2 linked regions of the Macaca fascicularis genome follow. The protein of the gene in region 2 interacts with the protein of the main gene of each other region in a biochemical or structural test. Links are inferred from orthologs where the notes say so. Each region holds a gene or a part of one and is shown on either strand. Other genes may lie near its edges.

What was found.
Region 1: the proteins of FLNC (region 2) and XIRP1 form a complex in vitro, tested with the Homo sapiens proteins (2 studies listed by BioGRID and IntAct, with this or other methods). The link is inferred for Macaca fascicularis from reciprocal best matches to the Homo sapiens genes FLNC and XIRP1.

Annotation. Positions count from the first base shown.
Region 1 is NC_088376.1:101,263,780-101,268,028, reverse strand, and holds the start of XIRP1 (xin actin-binding repeat-containing protein 1), read left to right. Parts: upstream 1-1,372; 5' UTR 1,373-1,523; intron 1,524-4,249. UniProt on the Homo sapiens protein: Protects actin filaments from depolymerization. Required for correct cardiac intercalated disk ultrastructure via maintenance of cell-cell adhesion stability, and as a result maintains cardiac organ morphology, conductance and heart beat rhythm.
Region 2 is NC_088377.1:170,303,896-170,307,474, reverse strand, and holds part of FLNC (filamin-C), read right to left. Parts: intron 3,454-3,579; coding exon 3,336-3,453; intron 3,246-3,335; coding exon 2,983-3,245; intron 2,592-2,982; coding exon 1,994-2,591; intron 1,285-1,993; coding exon 1,111-1,284; intron 989-1,110; coding exon 826-988; intron 546-825; coding exon 385-545; intron 1-384.

The sequences.
Region 1 (4,249 bases), on a different chromosome or scaffold from region 2:
TAGAGGGCTAGAAAAGAGCAGGGGAAGAGACAAGAGGGAGGGAGACCAGGAAGAGGGGTTCCCAGATGTCCTCGCCCCCGTTCCAGCTGCCACTGCAGGACTGACGTTGACTACATGGAAAAAGTGAGCAATGTCTGGCATCATCCCCTGGTACCAGAGGGCATTTGGGGAGTCAGAAGGAAGACCTCATGTGCCAGGCCACAGAATGCACCTGCATACCCACAGGCATGGAGCCTGGGCCAGGCCCACCTAGGATGAAACACCTCTTTCAAGTTTTCTGTGGATGGTCCCCTGATATCCTTCACCACACTGGTCTGACTGCCAGGATCTCTTGGGCCTGCTGGGCCCCTCAGACCCTGGTAAGCAAAGGAGGAGGCAGGTGTGACCCCCCTCCCCGCTGCCACTCCATCTGTGACTGGGAAGCTGATGACTCCAGGGTCAGAAATAACCCCACGGTCAGCTCCCTGCATGCCGCCCTTCCCCTCCCCTCCGTTCCCAGAAAGCCTGGGCCCTGAGTCAGAGGGAAGAGTCGAGAAGAGAGAAAGGACTCAGTTAATCTGGGATGAAAACCACGGAGTCCTGCTGTGGAATTCATTCATTGGGAGGCCGAGGCAGGCAGATCACCTGAGGTCGGCAGTTCAAGACCAGCCTGGCCAACATGGTAAAACCCCATCTCTACTAAAAATACAAAAATTAACCGGGTATGGTGGCGCAAAGGAGGAGCTGGACCTGGCCAATCTCGGCCCAGTGAAGAGCTGTGCCTTGTCATTCAGATGTCTTCCCCCCAAATCCAGCTTTATCAGGGCCGTGTTGACCTGTGCTGTGGGGCACGGGGAAGAATGGATAAGAAAGAAGGAATTCTTTAGTGCAGAAGGGAATGGGGAAGAAAAAGAGCTGAGCTTCACACTCAGAGGTATTCAGGCTCAGAACAGAGGAGGAGAGGCCCAGCCTGCCCTCAGGAGACCTCCAGTCTCCTGGCACAGTGGGTGGAGACACGTCAGGAAGAGTCAGAGGCAGGACCAGAGTAGAGTGATGGAGGCTCACAAGACGGGGGCAAGCTGTCCAAGGTGTCAGATGCCCCTTCTTATTCACTCTCTCAAAATAGTCTGGGACACCCCCAACCCCACAACCCAGCTGAGTCACTGACCCCAATCCCCAGATCAGACTCTGGATGAATGAAGCTTCTCCCCCTCTGTTTCCCCTCCCCAGCCCGAAGGACATGTAATTGATTCCCCAGGATGGAAGAGTGACTTCCACAAGACCTAAAAATAACCAAACCACTTAATACTCTGAACATAGCCTCTCCCGCCCGCCCCCACCACGGCCCACCCACTAGCCAGCAAGATAAAGGCAGCTGCTGGGGCTGGCAGGGGACAGAGACCCGGAGCCAGGGCAGCAAGAAGGTGTCTGTTGGAGCCAGCAGAACAGAACCAATTTGAACAAGAACCTCGAGAGGAACGACGAACCCTGAGACCACAGCTGCTACAGACCCCAAACACCCCATCAGCCAAGAGAGACCCTCGGTGAGTAACCTACCTCTCTGTCCTTCCACGGCAGGGCTGGCGTTCACAGCTGGGATCCCCTGCCCTCCTGGAATGGACGTATTAGGGGTGGCTCTGAGTGGGGGAAGGAGATTGAGGGGCATGCATGGGAGGAGGTGAGTGGAAGTCTCAGATATAAAGAACCCACAAAGGAGGTAAAGACAGTGTGAGCCCCATGGGAGCTCTCAGAGTGGCTGCCACAGGCCTGAAGCTAGCAGAAAGGACAGGGTCCTGCCAGGCTGGCATGATCCAGTAAGGCCTGGAGTTGTGATTTTTAAAATACAGGTATGGAATGCCTCAGGCTTCGGGGCTTCCTCCCAGGGAAGCCTCAGGCAGGCCCAGGGTCTGGAGGAAGGAGGAACAGAAGAGAGGCGGGAGCAGGGGCTGTAGGTAGGCCTGAGTGTGCATTGCTAGAACAAGCCCCATGCCTAGTTGCTGTGGATGACACTCTCGGCATATCTGGCCCAGGCATAGCTCCCAGGGGCTGGCCGGAGCCCAGCTCCCTACATATCATAGCCTAAAACCTGGGGTGGAATTTGGACTCTGCCCATGGTCTTGCCCAGTGGGAAAGCCCCCAGGGCAGATCTGGGGCGCTCAGGGGAGGGAGACCGGATCTGAATTTGCCCAGATGTAAAGACATATGGAGCCAGCTGGGCCGAGGAGGAGGTAACCTGAGGACAGCAGTGGGACCATCCTGAGAGGTTGGCCCAGCCCTAGGAGACCAAGGTTTAGGACAGTTCTTGGGGTCACCCCACCTAAGTCTGGTCCCAGTTATGAATTCTGTCCTGACTCTACACTTGCCCCAGGAGTCTCAAGCCAGGCAAGGATGGTGGTGAGAAGGCCAGGAGTCAGGAGGCATGCTTCAGGCTTTGCTACTGCCTTGCTGAGCCTCCTTGGACAGCTCCTTTCCCCTCTTTGGCCCTCTGTTTCCCTATTTGAACAATAAGGGGTTTAGATTGAGTGATCTCTGAGGGTCCTTAGGCCTGACATCCCTGGACTCCATGATAATAACTGCCTGTGGCCTTAGCAGAGATTCTGGAAATTCCTGGGGGTGGGGGTGGGGTGAAGCTGATGGTCTGCCCATGCCATCTGCTCAGGTCACCCTGCTGGTGACAGGATGGAGTGGAGGTGGAGACAGGCACAGGTTTGCCTTGGGCAGGGGATCCTCGTTGGAGCTCAGAAATGAAAGAAAACCACGCAGAGCTTTGATGAGACTCAGGTTACAGGTTTCAGAGCTCACACTCCCCAAAGGTTCTGATGTCTTTGGTGGACATGCCAGGGTGGGCATGGGGTCAGGAGGTCTCGATTTCCTCTCTCCTCCTTCTGAGGTAGCCATAGGGAGGAAGTCCTGCCCCACTTGCTGCCAGTACTTCCCTCCACCGCAGACTCCTTTGGCCAGGGAAGGTGTCCAGGTTCTAGCACCTGGTTGGACTGCAGCCCAGGGGCCTGAAACCAGCCCAGGAGGCAGGATAGGGGAGCCCAGGGTAACGAAGGAGACGAGGTGAGCCAAGGGCACTGAGGATCCCCACTGGCTGGGCCTCAGCCTCCCTCTGAGCCCAGGGCTGCTGTTCTGAGGCCAGAACATCAGCTATATTTAGCACCCTGTGTGGTGCAGAGCAGTGGGTCAGGGGCAGCGGGAGGGGGCACATGCTTCCCATTCTTTCCCTACTGGCCTCTGGGGACTGTTAGTACACCTGTCACAAGACAGATAAGACATACATGGACAGAGACCAGAGAAGGGCTTGAGGGGTGGGAGGCCATTGAGGGGTGGGGGTGGAGCCAGGGAGGGGTAGGGCTTAGCCTGAAGCCCCCCTGAGTCCGAGCCCCTGAAGCTGTGCTTGCTTGCTTAGAGAGCGGTCTCCAGGGGCAAGGGGCAGAGCTGTCTCTGCAGAAAGGACCCTGGTCCCATGGTCCTCTCCCTGGTAGGTGTCGCCCTCATATCCTCCGAGGGGTGCCTGCTGGGGAATAGACTGGTCCTATGGCCAATAAGAAAGCTTTACACCTCCTACCCTCTTATGTCTTGGGCCCATGCCCTAAATAGAGTCTAGGGACCCCAAGCCAGCACTGCCTTCCACTTATTCACCAAGATCTGACTCTGGGCCTAAGTTCCCTCGTCTTTATTTATAAATGGTTGTGCTAAAAGACCTTTGAGATCCCCCTAGCTCAGACATTCTCAGTCTTGGAGTATAGTGCAGAAAACCCTGACCAGAGATTCAGAATTTGGATCTGGCCTAACCACGAGATATCTGATGAGCAGCTTCCCAGCCCTGATCCTCAACTGCTTCTGCCCTAGCATGGGCTGTTGGCCTCCGCTTGCCTCCTTGGGCCTGGGAAAGGTTGGAGTGCGTTGACAGCCAAGAGATAAAAGTTAGGCAGCACTCCAGGTCAACATGGCAAGTCTGCCCTCTGGTGTTCTGCAAAGGAATCTCGTCTCCATGGGAAATCAGTCACCAGGTTAGAGACCTGTCCCTCCAAGGCTGGGACTCCAAAAGTCAGGATTCCCCCAGGCCACTCTCCTGGGAGTCTTCTAGGGCAACACTGATTTTTAACAAAGGAAGGCGAGGATGGGGCCTGTCCAGTTAGGCATCCCTTATGGAGCTAAAGGAAAGAGTGTCATGTCCAGTTGTCCCATGGTTGCTCCCTAGCAACCCAGGAGATGTAGGGAAAGCAGGAACCCACTGTGATTAATGGGTCCATATGTCCTAAGT
Region 2 (3,579 bases):
GGCCTGCAGAAGGCAAGGGGAATTCTGCAGACGATGCGGGCAAGAAGGCCCAAGGCTGGCCTGAGCCACCAAGAGGAGTGGGCGGTGTCTGAGTTTCCAGACACACACTGAGCAGTGGACCTGCACAGCCGACGTCTCGAGCTCCAGGCAAGCGGCTAGGAGGCCAGAGCGTGTTCCTGGGATTGACTGGGGGGCTGTCGCATCAACCCTCACTGCCTGCCTCCTCCACGTCCTCCCTCTGGCTGGGCTCCAGCCCCGACCTGCTCTCAGCTATCCTCTCTATGAATGTTCTCATCTAACTTCCTTCCAGTTTCCCCCTTGTGGGGTGAGCATCCTGCATCCTCCCTTGTCTTCCCTGAGGCCCCGACCACTCTCTCTGCACACCTGGGATGGGCCGCCCCCCGAAGGTGATGTTGACGTCATAGTCTCCAGGGGTGAAGGGGATGTACTCCACAGTGCAGCTACCATCCTTGTTGTCCTTGCAGGACATCTTGGCTTCCGAGGGACCCTCGATGGCTAGGCCAAGGCCCCCGGTGCCGGCTCCCCTGAGAGATGACACCCCCCCATCAGCTTCATAAGACCAGTGAGTGAAGATGAGGGAGTAGCTGAATGGGGGGACAGGGAGGAAAGAGGGCAGGCCGCTGGGGACCCAGCTGAGGAGAAATGAGCCAGGGGCTGATCTGGAGTCCTGTCGGGGGGTCTGCTCCTGCCTCACCCCAGAGAGAGGATGGGGTGGGGCTGAGGTACAGACAGAGGGACGAGCAAGGAGGGCCAGGGGCTGGGAAAGGGTGGTCACAGGTTTAGGCTAGCAAATGGGGAGGATACCTGGTCTCCACAGTGAAGCGGTTGGCCTTGTTAACCAAGCCACCCTCCAGGCCTGGCCCGAAGGCCCGGACGCGGGTGGGATCACAGCCCTCGGTGACACCCACTCGGAAGGGGCTCTTCGGCACAGCGACCTCATCATACAGGACCTCCACCAAATGCACGCCTGGAAGCCAGCCACAGGGGCATCAATCAGGGAGTGTGCACCCCCACCACCCCTCCTGCCCCAAGCGCAATATCATCAGAGGCCGGCCCTGCCCGCTCGCCCGGCCCTCCACCGGCCCTCACCCTCCTCGTAGGCGGTGTACTGTACTCGGTAGGTGCCGTCCCCATTGTCTGTCACATAAGTGTCTGTCTTGGCCCCCGAGGGGTTGAGCACGCGAGCCGTCACGTGGTTGCCGCCTGTGGCTGTTAAGGATCTTGCATCCACAGTGAACTCAGTGGTCACCTCCCGCAGGACACCTGGAGCCCAGGGGTGGCATGCTCAGCAGGGGTGGGGGCAGCCTTCACACAGATGCTCCCTCTCCTCTCCCCCTCCTCTCCCTCTCCTCTCCTTCTCCTCTTCCCCTCCTCCCCCCTCCTCTCCCACTCCCCAACTCCCAGGCTGCTCCTCTGATCAGAGGCTGGGCCCCCTACCCTCCCCTGCACCTCCGTGAGCTCCAGCCTCTGCCTTCACTCCCTTCTCCATGTAGTGACATTCTCTGTTCACGTGAGTCACCCACCAGGCTGTGGGCCTGGGTCTTGCATCCCTCTGCCGTGCCCCATGCCTGGCCAGGGTCTGGCCCCGGCAGATGGCCCATTCCCACTTACTGTCTCCTGACTCTTGTCATCCTCTACCCCAGAGCTTTCCCCCGCCCCCCTCCAGAGCAGAGTCGTAGCTTTTTGCATCAGAGTACCCCTTAAGCACATGAAACAAGAGACCTCTCCAGGAAAACGCCCAGAGGCAGGTGCAGTTTTGCCACAAGAGCGGAGGCCAGTCTCCACTCCCAGTCTGCCCCTCCACTCCTTCTCTGGGGCTTCTGGGCCAGTAGGGACTTTAGGGCTGCCCTGAGAGCCCTCCCTTCATGCCAGGTGGCTCCCCCAGCCCTCAGCTCTGCTTCCCTCCCTCCCACTGACTATCCGGCTCCTGCACCTGCCACTTGACCTCACTTGGCTCCTCCTGACCACTCACCATGTGGCTCAACACCAGGCCCTGAGACCTTGACGCCACTGGTATCGACCGCAGGCTGCACATGGACGCGGGTGGGGAATTTGGGCACCGGATGCCCGCCATATTTGATGGTAATGGTGTAGGTGCCGGGGAAGGCAGGGCTGTAGGTGATGTGGTAGGTGCCATCCGCATTATTGTGAATCAGCACCTCGGCCTTGACCCCGGCATCCGACAGGATCTCAATGGTCAGCTCTGCCTCGCCTGCCTCTGAGCAGTCCACAGTGAAGGTGGCTGCCTCACCGGCCTTGCCGCGCTCCAGGCCCGGCCCACTGGCCCGCACCTTGCTTGGGTCAAACACGGGCCGGATGGTAGCTTTGAAGGGCGAGCCAGGGATGTGGGCTTCAGCAAACAGGATGTTGATGGTGTACTCGCCAGGCTCCGTGGGCAGGTAGCTGACAGCACATGAGCCATCACCATTGTCCTGGCACTCGATCTTGGCCTCGCAGGGGCCCTCCACGGTCAGCCCCAGGCCACCTGTGCCAGCCCCCTTGGTGTCGATGGAGAATGGTGCGGGGGTGCCTACCAGTCCACCCTTGAGACCGGGGCCGTAAGCACAGACCTAGGGGAAGAGGCAGGTGTGTGGGTTCCCTGCACCCGGCCTTCCCATCCCAGCCTTCATGGCCCCCACCCAACTCATCACCTCCAACTGTGGCTGCTATTGCAGACTGAGTGCTTATAACAATTCCAGGTGATGACATGGAGGCAGAGAGATGAAGCAATTTCCCCAGGTAGTGGACCTGGGATTCAAGCCCAGGTCTGACTCCAAGGCCAGGCTCTTAATAGCTAAGTTGTCTCCAAGGAAGGTGGTGGGGTGGGGCTGGTCTCAGTCCCACGTTCTTGGCTGTGCCCACTCCAGGCACATAAGTCCCTCTGGCCTCTGCCCCCTATGACTCTTCCAGCTTCCCGACAAGTCCCCAGCTCCCAGCCCCAACCAGCTCCTATCTCCTCACCTTGGAGGGATCAGGGGGCAGGACACCCTCCACAGCAAAGGGGCTGCCAGGCACTGGATGACCATCGTAGGTGATGTCCACCTTGTAGGGCCCCTCCTCCGGGGGCATGTAGCGCACAGCCTGGGCTTCCGCTCCGCCGCCTGGCTCCATCTTGCAGGGGATGGGCCGGCGAGAGGGCGAAGTCATCCGCACATCCAGTTGGCCTTGACCGCCAGCCCCTCGTGTGTTCACAGAGAATGCTTGTTCCTGTCCCACAGCCACCTCTGCGTGGAGGACAAGTGACACCATGAGGAGACTCCGGTCCACCCCACCCGAACACCCCTCACTCCCAGGGTGGCTCTTGCCCCACTTACTGCTATTGAGGCCCTGAACTTTGATTTTGCTGAGGTCCAGCGGGGGTGCCACATTCACCACAAAGGGGCTCTTGGGGACAGGGTCCCCACCGTAGGTCACTGTCACTGCCATGTTGCCCTGTTGGGTACAATGGTAGGTCAGAACTGGGTATAAGGCACGGTCCTGCAACATCCTGGTGGTGAATATGGGCTCTGAAGCTCAGATCCACCACGAGAGTGAGGGCAGGAGGCAGCGAAGGCATGG